Anolis sagrei: one gene and its partner. The protein of the gene in region 2 purifies or fractionates together with the protein of the main gene of each other region. This does not show direct contact. Links are inferred from orthologs where the notes say so. Each region holds a gene or a part of one and is shown on either strand. Other genes may lie near its edges.

Region 1 (7,730 bases), on a different chromosome or scaffold from region 2:
AGGTCATGGGAGACCTTGACATAAAGGGCTGGACCAAATGGCATTTGAGGGTCCCTTCCAACCCTAGGAGTATATGATCTAGCTTCTCGACCTTTCTCATGCTGTGACCCCTTAATACAATTCTGCATGTTGTGGTGACCTCCAACCGTAAAATTATTTTCCTTCCTACTTCATAACTGTCATTTTGCTACTGTTATCAATCGTAATGTATATATCTGATATGCAGGATGTGTTTTTCATTCACTGGACCAAATTTGGCACAAATACCCAATACGCCCAAATTTGAATACGAGTTGGGGGAGGGGTGACTTGATTCTCTCATTTGGGAGTTGTAGTTGCTGGGATTTGTAGTTCACCTGGAATCAAAGAGTATTCTGAACTCTACCAATGATGGAATTGAACCACACTTGGCACACAGAACTCCCATGGGCAACAGAAAATACTGGAAGGGTTTGGTGGGCATTGACTTTGAGTTTTGGAGTTGTAGTTCACCTTCATTTAGAAAGCACTGTGCACTCAAACAATGATGGATCTGGACCAAACTTGGCACGAATACTCCATATGCCCAAATGTGAACACTGGTGGAGTTTGGGGAAAATAGTCCTTGACATTTTGGGAGTTGTAGTTGCTGGGATTTGTAGTTCACCTACAATCAAAGAGCATTCTGAACCCCACCAACGACAGAATTGGGCCAAACTTCCCACATAAACCCCCATGACCAACAGAAAATACTGTGTTTTCCGGTGATCTTCGTGACCCCTCTGACACTCCCTTGTGACCCCTCCAGGGGTCCTGACCCCCAGGTTGAGAACTGTTGCTACTAAGAGATTGCAACGTACTTTATCTAAGTTGTTGTAAGGATCAGTGTTGTTTGTGCTATAACTTTAAGTTGCTGTAAGGTTCAAGGCTGTTTGTGCTACAGCTGTTTCAGTTAATTGAAGAGTTAATTGAGTGTTATTTTCATGTGTATAAAGATAGCTACTGTGTGTTTAGTTCTTTGCCATTGTGCGTTTATGCTATTGTGCATCTATGCCTCTGTGCCGTTCTGCTTTGTGTAAGCCGGGGACTATGCTGCAGATGTCCTGCGAAGACACAGCCATGAGAAGAGGACAAGGATTCCTGTTTATCTCAGCTGAGTAATGATATCTCTCAGAAGATATTGTTTCATGTTACTTTTGTGGAAACAGTAATCCTGCTATTTTGTTTTTGTATGCTGCCAATACTACAATATTTTTCTTTTCTACTTTAAGCCGAAGTCTCGTGTGTTTTTCTTTTATGAGTAATTTCATCACACACACAGTTAACTGGGCTAGAGTCAGTCTGCATGCTACTCAGGAGAACAAACCCTATGAGGAGCGGCTTAAAGAGCTGGGCATGTTTAGCCTGAAGAAGAGAAGGCTGAGAGGAGACATGATAGCCATGTATAAATGCGTGAGAGGAAGTCACAGAGAGGAGGGAGGGAGCTTGTTTTCTGATGTCCTGGAGACTAGGCTGCAATGGAGCAATGGCTTCAAACAATACAATGTACAATAAAGGAGATTCCGCCTGAACACGAGGAAGAACTTCCTGACTGTGAGAGCTGTTCAGCAGTGGAACTCTCTGCCCTGGTGTTGTGGAGGCTCCTTCTTTGGAGGCTTTAAAACAGAGGCTGGTGGGCATCTGCCAGGGGTGCTTTGAATGCAATATTCCTGCTTCTTGGCAGAGTGGGGTTGGCAGAATGGGGTTGGACTGGATGGCCCATGAGGTCTCTTCCAACTCTTTGATTCTATGATTCATGCTAACGCATGACAAGAACCACTGAGCTAGAGGCTGAATGTCCTTCTGTTGGCAGGACTTGGATTGCACTGTCCCTTGACATAAGGGCTGGACTGGATAGTCTTTGGGGACCCCTTTCAACTGTGGGAGTCTCTGAATCGAAGAATGGACAGCCATCTGTTGATAGGGCTTGAATTATACTATCCTTTGCCATGAAGGGCTGGGCAGGATGGCCTTTGAGGGTCCCTTCCAGCTCTAGGAGTATATGATCTAGCTAGAGGCTGGATATCCCTCTGTTGGCAGGACTTGGATTGCACTGTCCCTTGACATAAAGGGCTGGACTGGATGGCCTTTGGGGGCCCCTTTCCACTGTGGGAGTCTCTGAATCGAAGAATGGACAGCCATCTGCTGATAGGGCTTGAATTATACTATCCTTTGCCATGAAGGGCTGGGCAGGATGGCCTTTGAGGGCCTCTTCCAACTCTGATTCTGAAGTTGGGTGGCCATCTGTTGGTAGGGGTTGAATTGTGCAGTCCAGACTTGACATAATGGGGGGGGGGGCGGGGGCTCCTCACCTGGGGTCCTCGAACTCGACGAAGGCGAAGGGCGGCCCCCCGCGGCGGTTCTTGAGGTCGATGTCCCGGATGGCGCCGTACTTGTAGAAGACGTCCTCGATGTCCTTGGTGCGGATGTCCGGCGGCAGGTTGCCCACGTAGATGCGGCAGTCGTTGTTCCCGGCCGGGCCGCGGATCACGCCGCCGCCTGACATGGCGAGGTCGGCAATGGCTGCGGTTGGCGGGGGCCGAGGCTCGTGGAGAAAGGGAAGGCCGGCGAGAAGGGCCCCGCAGCGGGGAGAGGAAGGGAGGGAGCGAGCGAGGGAAAGAAAGAAAGGAAAGAAAGAGGGAGAGAGGGGAAGCAAGAACGGGGCCTGAGAAAGCGAAGGAGGGATGCAGGCAGGCGCCGGGCCCAGTCGACTGGGAGGGATCCGCCTCGGACGCGCCTTCCCTCAGAGCGACACAAAATGGCGGCTCTACCTGCCTCGCGCAAGGATCCTCTCAGTCTCGCGCGCGCGCGCCGTGACGTCACTCTCTCACGCTTTCTCCTCAGATGCCTCCGCCTTTCCAATTGCGCATGCGCAAGAGAAAAAAGAAGTCCCTCCGCTTGCAAACGTTTTCCTTACGCTCCCCTTTCGATTACTCGCCACTCGAGGCCGAGGCCTAGGAAAGACGCGCGCAGCGATTCTCCTCTATTTTCCCCCTTGTTCGGCTTGGAAGAAGATCCGGCTCAAGGGGAGAAGCGCCGCCTTCCCACCATGCAACGCGCGCCAGAGCGCCTTCGCGCCAAAGCCAAGCACGAGGCCCACAATGCACAGCGAAGCACGCTTAGTCGGCTATTGTGGTGCCTGACGGAAAAATCCTACCAGAGAGACTCCCTGAAAGGAAAATTCAAACATGGCCCCGTATTTTTTGAAAGAGAGAGCAGACAAGGAGATTTAAATGTAGTTTAAAAAGAGAAAGACGAGCGAGCAGGGCCGTAGCCAGAAAAATTTTTCGGGAGGGGTTGAAATTTGGGGGGGGGGGGGAGGGGTTGAAACCTGCCTTCTATTTATGTTATTTATTCATTTACAGCTTTTATATTCCGCCTTTCTCACCCCGCAGGGGACTCAGGGCGGATTACAGTGTACACATATATGGCAAACATTCAATGTCAATTTTGACATACAAACATATACAGACATACACAGAGGCTATTTAACTTTTTCTGGCCGCCAGGGGAGATGTCGCTTTCATCGTCCATCTGCGACGCTGAGGAAGCACTTCCACATTCCCCGCACACTTCCCCGCTGGAGGAGCCCCCGGTGGCTCAGTCGGTTAAAGCACTGAGCTGCTGAGCTTGTTGATCGAAAGGTCGCAGGTTCAATTCCGGGGAGCGGCGTGAGCTTCCGCTGTCAGCCCTAGCTTCTGCCAACCTAGCAGTTCGAAAACATGGAAATGTGAGTAGATCAATAGGTACCGCTCCGGCGGGAAGGTAACGGCGGTCATGCTGGCCACATGACCTTGGAGTGTCTACGGACAACGCTGGCTCTTCGGCTTAGAAATGGAGATGAGCACCACACTCCAGAGTCAGACATGACTGGGCTTAATGTCAGGGGACTACCTTTACCTTTATCTTCCCCGCTGGAATGCTTTGCCAGAGTCTTCTTTATTTAGCCTCCCCACACTTTAAGGTGGTACCTAATTTTCCTACTTGACAGATGCAACTGTCTTTCGGGTTGCAAAGGTCGACAACAGGCTACACACAATTGGTTGGAAACCCACTCCAACCCGGGCTGGCTTCGAACTCATGACCTTTTGGTCAGAGTGATCTTAATGCAGCTGACACTCAGCCAGCTGCGCCACAATCCCCGCAAAGAGCACAGCAGGGGGCAGAGCAGTCTTCCATAGCCTGCAGCTCCGCCCCTGTCAACCACCTCCACCAAGTCTGGCCTCCTTAATGAGAGCATTCAACAACCTCCCCCCCCCCCAACTTGGATGCTTCGCTACATCGGCTATTGCTGCAAGTAATGACAGTGTGAATAAATTGTCAATATTTACCTGAGATAGTGCTTGCAGTTCTGGAGGGACTCTGAATTTTTTGCATCTCATAGACTTAGCAGGGGGATTTGGTTAACCAGTTAAAATTCATGAGTAAACCAGGTTTTTTTAAAAAAAATCTGAAACATTTCAGGGGGGGGTTGAACCCCCAACCCCCCCCCCCCCCCTCGCTACAGGCCTGTGAGCGAGCGCCTCTGGGTTTCCTTTGGGGCTCCAGGGTGATCCCTTTGCCTTGGCCGCCCAGTGGACACATCGGGAAGTGCAGCCCCCTCTTCATTCACCCGCCACGGCCCTTTGCTGCCATCGTGTGGCCATGGCCGAAAACTGCACCGCTTTCTATTCTCTTTTCCCCCAAAGGCGTTCTTTGCCTGGATCCCTTTGGGGATGGAGGAAAGGGGAAAACAGAAAGGGAAGAAGGAGGGAAAAGGAAGATCACGTCGATACCAGGCAAGATTCTGGAAAAAAATGTTAAGGAATAGGTCTGCAAACACTTAGAAACAAATGCAGTCATTGCTAATAGTCAACACGGATTTATTAAAAACTAGCTTGGTGTTATTTGAGAAAGGAATTGTGTCTCAAGGTTGGTCTTTATCAGTTATTTATATGGCTCGCAGTGATCTTAGGAAGTTAGTGAAGGTACTGCGAATCCCATCATCTGTGGTCCATCCTCCTCCAAATTGCACCAGAATGGAGAGTGGGTCGTGGGGGCTCTGTGTGCCAAGTTTTGTTCTTGATCAATCATTGGATTGTGAAAGGACCAAGGCAGAGACATCTCCAGCTCATCCCTTGTTTGGGTATCAGCCAGCACGTCAACGACTCAAATCAAAAAATAGTTTTCTTAGATCTACAGAGATACTCGCTGGTACACCTCAGCAAGCAAGAGTTCAAAAGTGGCAGGCTCAAACCCAGCACCTCATTCTGTGGGGGATACCAGGTGAGAGACTCCCCCCTGGGCACACAGAAGACTGGGCGACTTGGAAGGCGCTGAACAGACTGCGCTCTGGCACCACGAGATGCAGAGCCAATCTTAAGAAATGGTTAATGAGTTTAGGTACTGCAAGTCACATCCTCCTCCAAAGTCTGTTCTCCCCCAAACCTCATCAGAATGTTCAGTTGGCCAAAGTTTGCCAAGTTCTTTCTTGGTATTTGGATAAGTGTTGCTGTGGTTTCAGGAAGTGAGTGAAGGTACTGGAAGTCCCATCATCCATCGTCCATCCTCCTCCAAACAGTGGAGTGGGTCATGGCAGCTCTGTGTGCCAAGTTCGGTCTTGATCAGACATTAGATGACGGTTGCAGCAGTCTTGGGAAGGGAGTGGAGGTAATTGAAGTCCCATCATCCATGGTCTGTCCTCGAAAGTGCACCAGGATGTAGAGTGGGTCATGGGGACTCTGTGTGCCAAGTTTGATCTTGATCAGTCATTGGATGAGGGTGGCTGTGGTTTCAGTAAGTGAGTGAAGGTACTGCAAGTCCCATCATCCAAAAACCATCCTCCTTCAAACTGCAGCAGGATGTAGAGTGGGTCATGGGGGCTCTGTGTGCTAAGTTTGGTCTTGATTGGTCATTAGATGAGTTTTGCAGCAGTCTTGGGGAGTGGAGGTACTTGAAATCCCATCATCATCCATGGTCTGTCCTCCTCAAAAGTGCACCAGTATGTAGAGTGGGTCATGGGGACTCTGTGTGCCAAGTTTGGTCTTGATCAGCCATTGGCGAGGGTCTCAGTGGTCTCAGAAAGTGAGTGAAGTGACTGCAAGTCCCATCATCCATTGCCAAATTCTTCCAAACCACACCAGGATGTAGAGTGGGTCATGCGGGCTCTCTGTGTGAATTGTGGTCCCGATCCATCATTGTAGGCAGTTGTAATGGTCTTAGGAAGGGAGTGCAGGTATTGCAAGTCCCATCATCCATGGTGCATTCTTCTCCAAACTGCACCAGGACGTAGAGTGCATCATGGAGACTCAGTGTGCCAAGTCTGGTCTTTATCGGTAATTGGATGAGGGTTGCAGTGGTCTCAAAAATTGAGCAAAGGTACTGCAAGTCCAATAATCCATGGTCTATCCCCGGCCAAACCACACCAGGACGTAAAATGGGTCATGAGAGGTCTATGTGCCAAGTTTGGTCCTGATCAGTCATTGGATGAGGTTAACAGCGGTCTCAGAATGTGAGTGATGGTACTGCAAGTCCCATCATCCATGGTTCATCCTCCTCCAAACTGCAGTAGGATGTAGAGTGGGTCATGGGGGCTTTGTGTGCCAAGTTTGGTCTGTATTGGTAATTTTCTGACCCAGCCCCTGGCCTTTTCCTTTCCTCTCTTTGTCATCTCGGAATCTTGGAATTGAGGCTGGCCAATCAGAGACAATATGCAAATTTCCTTCTCTCATGTCTCCGTTTCTGTCATGAACCCTTTTCTCCACCAGGGGCTCCTCTTGAATCTGGCCAATCAAAAAACCATATGCAAATAGCACCACAGTGGCAGCCAATCAGAACGCTGGCACATACCCTGTCGCACCGCCACACTTCCGCCGCATACAAACTTTAACTTTTAAGTGGGTATATTTACTATAACATAATTTCTATATTTTCATATTTTCTCCCTGTGTGTCTGACCTTTTCCTGACCCTTTTGCCCCATTCCCCTTTTGGAAAAAAATGTATTAAAATGTAGGGAAGCCGCTCTGCCCCTGGAAAGGAAAGGAATTACCAGCTGAAAGAACCCTTTGCATGGACAATAACAAAGGCTCGTGACCTCTGGCCTCGGAGGTTTTGGCCACCAGAGGAAACGGCCACTTGGCAAGTATTGATTATATCACAATGGGACAGAGGGGAGCCTTCGGAAAGCTGCATCTCTTCCTGATCTGCCACCTATTCAATCTCTCTCACTAAAACATCCACCTAAGTTTCCACTATTGTTCCTCTGTCTTGACATAGAAGAAAATCCGGATTATGGCGGTATTGCCATATATCAATGTTTATTGCAGCCATTCAGAACAATAGTCTGGCTAGCTTGTAGGCCTTTAAGACTCGCCAGCCCCTTGGACATTTCCTGAATTTTCATAATCCACTCAAAAATGCATTGTATTCCCTTGTCCTGTCTCCCTCCCTCCTGATTCATTGAAGCGCCAAGGCGGCGGAAGCCCTCTGATTGGCCCAGGTGCACAGCAGAAACCTTGTGATTGGCCCAGGCGCTCGAGAGGTGACTGAGCCTCCTCCCAGCTGTTGAAGTGCTGGCCAATCACCTTCAAGCCGGGCGGAGGGCGGGGAGCGGGAGATTCAAACTGGACAAGTCTCTATAAAAATGGCTATAAAAATGGCTTTTATTTGTACTCATGTATGCTTAGCTTGGCGAAATCTTGCTGCTTTGCATCCTTTTCAGCTGAATCGCAA
Region 2 (7,067 bases):
CATAGCATATAATATTCTTCCTGCATGAAAGGTAGAATCCAATGCTTTATTTTAACAAGAATATTCAATCTTGAATATTTGTGTACTATACTGCTCATTCAAACTCATACTAATCAGTCAGCCACAGGAAAAAAATTGCTAATTTTTACTGTAATTCTCGAATTACATTTGTTGTTTAATGCTCATCAACAGATGAATTCTCAATGTGTTCTGAGTTCAAAACATACTGCTCAAAACACAGTGTCTAAACTGAAAAACAAACCCAAACTTACTCATATTTTGTGAACACATAGATATTGAAATGGATAGGCACTTCTTGACAGACAATAATTACAATATGAATGCAAACAATTACATGAAATTGGAGGGGTAGCATGTTCCTTATGGGAGTAGTTATTTCCCCATTTATATCAATACCTCTGAGGATCTCTGCCATAGAAGCAGGAAAAATTGAGAGAATGGTACTGGAACATGACCATACAGCCTGAAAAACTCACAGCAACCTAAATGGAGTAATTATTTCCCCATCTATATAAATGGATTAGTCATTTCCTCATTTGTATCAATGGAAAAATCATGGGCCAAAATCGGAATTGACTCAATGATTTGGTGGCGCTTACATAAAGGCCCCTTCTACACTACTATATAAAATCCAAATTATCTGCTTTGAACTGAATTATGTGGCAGTATAGACTCATATAATCCAGAATATCAAAGCAGATAATCCTATGGCCCCTTCCAAACAACTGTATAAAATCCACATTGAAATGGATTATAAGGCAGTGTGGACTCAGATAATCCATTCTGGATTATCTGCCTTTATATTCTGTGCTATATGGCTGTGTGGATGGGCCCTAACACAGATGGCCGCTTGGGGAGCAGTGACTCACTTTCCAGTTGGGACTAATAACTGAATTTAGGTCATGGATTCCACAAGCAAATCCTCCTTAAAGCTTGCAGAGAGACAGCTCAGGACCCTTCCACACAATCATTACAACAAATCACCTCCAATATCTGCTTCGAACTGTGTTATCTGAGTCCACACTCCCATATAATCCAGTTAAATGTGAAAACATGGCTGTTCGACGTGATTTTGAAGAATGAATAACAAATCCCCATACCATGACCGTCCCAGTACAAATTTGTCCTTTTGATGCGCTTTATCACATCCCCTAGTGAGAATTAAACCCCATCGTTGTCCCATCTGAATCTCCGACCAGATACACTACTCTATTTACCTATCTCACCCAGGGTTTTATAATTCTATCCCTTTCATCTGGCCCAGCCCATTGTGTTTATTTTATTTCATATCCTGTGTTTACCCTACTGTATTATTTTATTTTGCATTTTATTTTATTTGATGTTATTAGTTTTGCTGTTTGTATTTTCTTTGCTTTATTATAATTGTCGGGCTTGGCCTCATGTTATCCACCCTGAGTTCCCTTGGGGAGATGGTGGCGGGGTATAAATAAAGATTATTATTATTATTATTATTATTATTCAATGTGGATATTATGCACATGTGTGGAAGGGGCCTCAGAACACTGTGGGCCCTTCTACAGTCTAGAATGAAAGCTGTTTGACGTGACTTTAACTGCTGCGGCTAAATGCTATGGAATTCTGGGGGTTGTGTTTTGGCGAGGCACGAGCACTCTTTGCCAGGAGGATTTGTAACATTACAACTCCTGGGATCCCAGTGCATTGAGACATGGCAAGTCTCTTCCACACAGACGCCTAAACCCCCACATTATCTGCTTTGAACTGGAATATGAGGCAGTGTGGACTCAGGGCACTTCCACATTGCCATATAGCTCAGAATATGAAGGCAGAAAATCCCACAATATCTGCTTTGAACTGGATTGAGTCTACACTGCCATATAATCCAGTTCAATGTGGATTTTATGCAGCTGTGTGGAAGGGGGCAGACATTTTAGGGTCCTTCCAAACAACCATATGGCCCAGAATATCAAGGCAGAAAATCCCACAATATTTGCTTTGAACTGGGTTATTTGAGTCTACATTGCCATATAATCCAGTTCAAAGTGGATTTTATGCAGCTGTGTGGAAGGGGCCAGATATCTCAGGGTCCTTCCACACAACCATATGGCCCAGAATATCAAGGCAGAAAATCCCACAATATTTGCTTTGAACTGGGTTAATTGAGTCTACATTGCCATATAATCCAGTTCAAAGTGGATTTTATGCAGCTGTGTGGAAGGGGCCAGATATCTCAGTGTCCTTCCACACAACCATATGGCCCAGAATATCAAGGCAGAAAATCCCACAATATCTACTTTGATCAGGGTTATTTGAGTCCACATTCTGATAATGTGGGATTTTCTGCTAGATATTCTGGGATATAGCACTGTGTGGAAGGGCCTCCTGTTGAAAGTGGAGTCAAACGGAGTTAATTCTACGATGAGCCTTCCTCCTCCAACCTGCATTTTAACAGGCCTATTTTTAAATTAAAGAACGACCCACAAGGAGGCACAAAGGCTGCCTCCCAGGAAGAAAACGTAGAAAAGGATGTTCCCCTTCCCATATGTTCACAATTTTGCGTGCGCAAGGGAGGAAGAGGCCACGACTGCTTCCTCGAGGCCTGGCTTGAAGAACACGCGGGCCTCGATTTCCTCAACCCCGCTCCTCTGCGCTGCCCTCCCGGCCACTCGGGTTCACGCGAAATAGTTGGAGCGGAGGGGGAAGGAGCGGCGAGGCCTTGAGACACCTCAGCGACGACGCCATTACGCGAAGGCCTGGCCCGCTCAGGCGCCCTTTCCCTTCAGCTTCCTGGAGCCAAGGAGCGCCGCCCTTCGAGAGGGAAAAACAGCGCCTTCAGACTTCGAGGCCTAAGCGGCCGGGGTTTTAAGCCGCAAACGGAAACCACCCTCTTTTTCTCTTACCTTCGTGCGTCTTGGCGATCTTCGCCATTTTGTGGAGCTCGAAGAAGCGCAGCCAGCGAGATGGAGGGGGGGGGGCGGCGCGCGCTTGTTCTCTCGACGTCCACTTCCGCTTTCGGGGGCGGAAGGAGGGAGTTGGGAGGGGGAGATGGGAGGAGTGGCCGCGCGAGAGCCCTTTGCGCAGGCGCACTGGAACGGCAAGGGGAAGGCGGGGAAACCGAGAGGGACGCCGCAGCTTCAGCTTTTATACAGCGCAGGAGTAAGCGGGGCTTCCCTTCCGAGTCCATCATAAGACCCCTTATTTTGTGGGATCGCGTTCACAGAAATAAGGCGCCTTTATACTGGAGAATTAATGCAGTTTGACACTACTTTCAACTGCTATGAAGTAACTCTAAAAGGGTTGCTTTGGCAGAGAAGGCTAAAGGCCTTGTAAAACTGCAGCTCTTATAGTATTCCCACACAACCATATAACCCAGAATACCAAGGCAGAAAAACCCACAATATCTGCTTTGAACTGGGTTATCAGACTCCACACTCAATGTGGGGTTCTCTGCCTTGATATTCTGGGATATAAGGCTGTGTGGAAGGGCCCTGAGTCCACACTGCCACATAACCCAGTTTAATGTGGATTTTATACTCCACAGTTAATTGTAGCCATTTTAGATGAGTATCAGGCTCCTTCTACGCAGGTGGGAAGTAGCAGCCAATAGTGAAAGGACCAAGGCAGAGACATCTCCAGCTCATCCCTTGTTTGGGTATCAGCCAGCACGTAGAATCATAGAATCAAAGAGTTGGAAGAGACCTCATGGGCCATCCAGTCCAATCCCCTGCCAAGAAGCAGGAATATTGCATTCAAATCACCCCGACTTAAATCAAGAAATAGTTTTCTAAGATCTACAGAGACACTCGCTGGAACACCTCAGCAAGTGAGAGTCCAAAACTGGCAGGCTCAAACCCAGAGCCTCAATGATACCAAATGAGAGACTCCCCTCTGGGCACACAGAAGACTGGGCGACTTGGAAGGCGCTGAACAGACCGCTCTGGCACCACGAGATGCAGAGCCAACCTTAAGAAATGGGGCTACAAAGTGGAATCCACAACATGCGAGTGTGGAGAAGAGCAAACCATTGACCACCTGCTGCAATGCAACCTGAGCCCTGCCACATGCACAATGGAGGACCTTCTTGTAGCAACACCAGAGGCACTCCCAAGTGGCCAGATACTGGTCAAAGGACATTTAATCAACTACCAAGCTTGCAAACTCTGTTTTGTCTGTTTGTTAAAAATTTGTTTAAAATGTAATCCAATTGTCTGGTTGCTACTGACATGATAAATAAATACACAGGTGTATAAATTCCTCATTGAACTGGATTATATGACAGTGTGGATTCAGATAACCCAGTTCAAAACGGCTATTGTGGATTATCTCCCTTGATATTCTGGTTACATGTGAATTAAAAGGGGTCTTGTGGCATATTTGGGGCTAAATAAGAGAGAAAAATGGTAGCAGCTGCACTGCAGAATTATATTATCAGTATATGTAGATCCCATCTTTACTCTTAAAAAGAGACTCAATGCAGCAAACCATTCTAAAAATTCAATATACAAATCAGAACCTAAACTATATAAACACTAGAACAGAAATATACAGGCAGTCCCCAAGTTGTTACCAAGATAGGTTCTGTAGGTTTGTTCTTAAGCTGAATTTGTTTGTTAGCTGGAACAGGTACATTTTAAAAGTGTAACTCCAGCTCTCTCCCCCCCCCCCTCCCCTCTCTCTCTATAAATTATTTAGCTTTGGATAGCATAGGAAAGGGTTTACACCGCCATGGTGTTTGTTTTGCTGTCAGTGGCCCCGTTCAGAGGATTTCACCTCACTTTCTGTCCCTATGATAATTGGATTTTGAAAAAAAATTGACTTCTGGAAATAAGATTGCTGATAAAGCATCACTGGAGACACCTTTTTTCACATGATGACTCTTTCAGAAGTTAATTTCCCTTCCAAGGGAAAGATTTCTCTCACTTCTTGTTGGCTCACCCCTGTTCTTAACTAGGAGTCATTTGTAAGTTGCATGTTTGCAGCTCGAGGACTGACTGTGGTTAAATCTATTTTTTTTTAAAAAAAATTAAAAACTGTTCAAAATACCTATCAAATACCTATTAAACGCCACACAACACCCCCGGCTCATACCTACTTGAATATAAAGTGTTTAGCTTGCTTCCATTCTAGCCTCCCTGGGAAACAAACTTAAAACTCCTAAATCCCAAGCACTGGGCCTAGCTGTCAGACGACTATAATTATGCAGTGGGAAAACAGTCCATCTGCTTCCTCAGACTCTGTGTATGTGACTTGCCATAGAAATGCAAAGGTGGTGGGTATGGTGATGATAAGTGGCAAGTTATGTATTAGCAGTAGATGGTCATTGAGCAAGCATGGACAAACTTTAGCTCTCCAGCTGTTAGGAGTTGTGGAAGTTGAAGTCCAAAACACCTGGAGGGACGAAGTTTGTCCGTGTCATTGAGAGACAGATATAGGAGAGAGGTGTTGCATAAATACAAGATGAGTGGATAACCCTAGGAAGATGGAAGAAGTTACTGGGATGCAGTGTGATGCTGGCTCTGTTTAACCCACTGTCAGGGGATTGGAGTTTGTTAATTTATTTGGTTAAATACACAGACTAATAGGGCTCATGCCATAACCTGGGACAGTTTTGAGATGGAAAAGTGCCACAAAGACAGCAGTCTTAACCCCCTTTTTTTGTTACAGTTTGAAGGGTGCTTCAGTATTCTGTCATATTTTTGTATGTGTTTTTTTCTTACCACCCAGGGAATATTTTCTTCATGGAAATATGAAGAAGCCAGTTTCGAATAAAAACCTAGTTTGTTTCTGGGTTTTTTTAAAATGCATTTGAATGAAATTATCACAACTTGTTGAGAATGGACAGATATGGAATTTAGACTGGAGTAAAATGAGAGGGAAAGGCCTGGTGAGTTGTGACAACCATAATAACAAAAGTGAAGCTAAGACATAGGACAGAGGCATTTATTTAATCTTGGCCAAGATGATGCTTGTAAACTCCTGCTCCAAAAAATTACAAGCATAAGAGAGCATGTGCTCTGCACAACAGTTTTTATACACAATGTTCATTATTCCAGTTTGAACCATCCCTCTTCTGTTTCTGGTTGGCCGAGCTCTGTTGATGTGGCTGGAAATCCCCTCCCAGCCAGATAGGGAAAGTAGTATGGACAGAGAGGAGTCTGTAGGAAGTGCTAGCATTCCATGCCAGCAGGGGTCCAGGGTGGGGATGATGGGATTGTGAGAACAATGGAAGCTGATCTCTGTAGTCTTGGCTATTTAGCAAAGATGCCTATTGGGGAGGCTGCAGTTGGGTAGTTGAGAGCTATTGTTATCTTTTGTTATATTGGGTTGTTGTAGGCTTTTCGGGCTGTATGGCCATGTTCAGCGCTGCCTCCAGAAAATCCTGCAAATTTCTTGGGAAGACAGGCGGACAAATGTCAGCGTGCTGGAAGAAGCAAAGACCACCAGCATTGAAGTGATGGTCCTCTGCCATCAGCTCCACTGGACCGGCCATGTTGTCTGGATGCCCGACCATTGTCTCTCAAAGCAGTTGCTCTACTCCAAACTCAAGAATATCAAATGAAATGTTGGAGGACAGGAAAAGAGATTTAAAGATGGGCTCAAAGCCAACCTTAAAAATTCTGGCATAGACTCTGAGAACTGGGAAACCCTGGCCCTTGAGTGCTCCAGCTCGAGGTCAGCTGTGATCAGCAGTGCTGTAGAATCTGAAGAGGCACGAATGGAGGGCAAAAGAGAGAAACATGCTAAGAGGAAGGCGCATCAAGCCAACCCCGACCGACACCGCCTTCCACCTGGAAACCAATGCCCTCTCTGCGGGAGAAGATGCAGATCAAGAGTACGGCTCCATAGTCACTTACAGATCCACCAGAAAACTGATCCTGGAAGACTATCCTACTCGGCCAACGAGGGATCACCTAACATCTAACAACAACATGGCCATGTTCTAGAAGCCTTCTCTCCTGACGTTTCATCTTCATCTATGGCAGGCATCCTCAGAGGTTGTGAGGTCTGATTATTTGCCTGAGGCTGAGAAGCATTCCGGCTTGAGTCAAACAGTTTACTTTCTTATA

Evidence for each region. The genes of interacting proteins can lie anywhere in the genome.
Region 1: the proteins of SF3B1 (region 2) and SRSF1 fractionate together in Homo sapiens (co-fractionation; 3 studies listed by BioGRID and IntAct, with this or other methods). This does not show direct contact. The link is inferred for Anolis sagrei from reciprocal best matches to the Homo sapiens genes SF3B1 and SRSF1.

Annotation. Positions count from the first base shown.
Region 1 is NC_090031.1:19,484,943-19,492,672, reverse strand, and holds the start of SRSF1 (serine/arginine-rich splicing factor 1), read right to left. Parts: upstream 3,025-7,730; 5' UTR 2,525-3,024; coding exon 2,331-2,524; intron 1-2,330. UniProt on the Homo sapiens protein: Plays a role in preventing exon skipping, ensuring the accuracy of splicing and regulating alternative splicing.
Region 2 is NC_090021.1:178,747,730-178,754,796, reverse strand, and holds the start of SF3B1 (splicing factor 3B subunit 1), read right to left. Parts: upstream 3,014-7,067; 5' UTR 2,929-3,013; coding exon 2,901-2,928; intron 1-2,900. UniProt on the Homo sapiens protein: Component of the 17S U2 SnRNP complex of the spliceosome, a large ribonucleoprotein complex that removes introns from transcribed pre-mRNAs.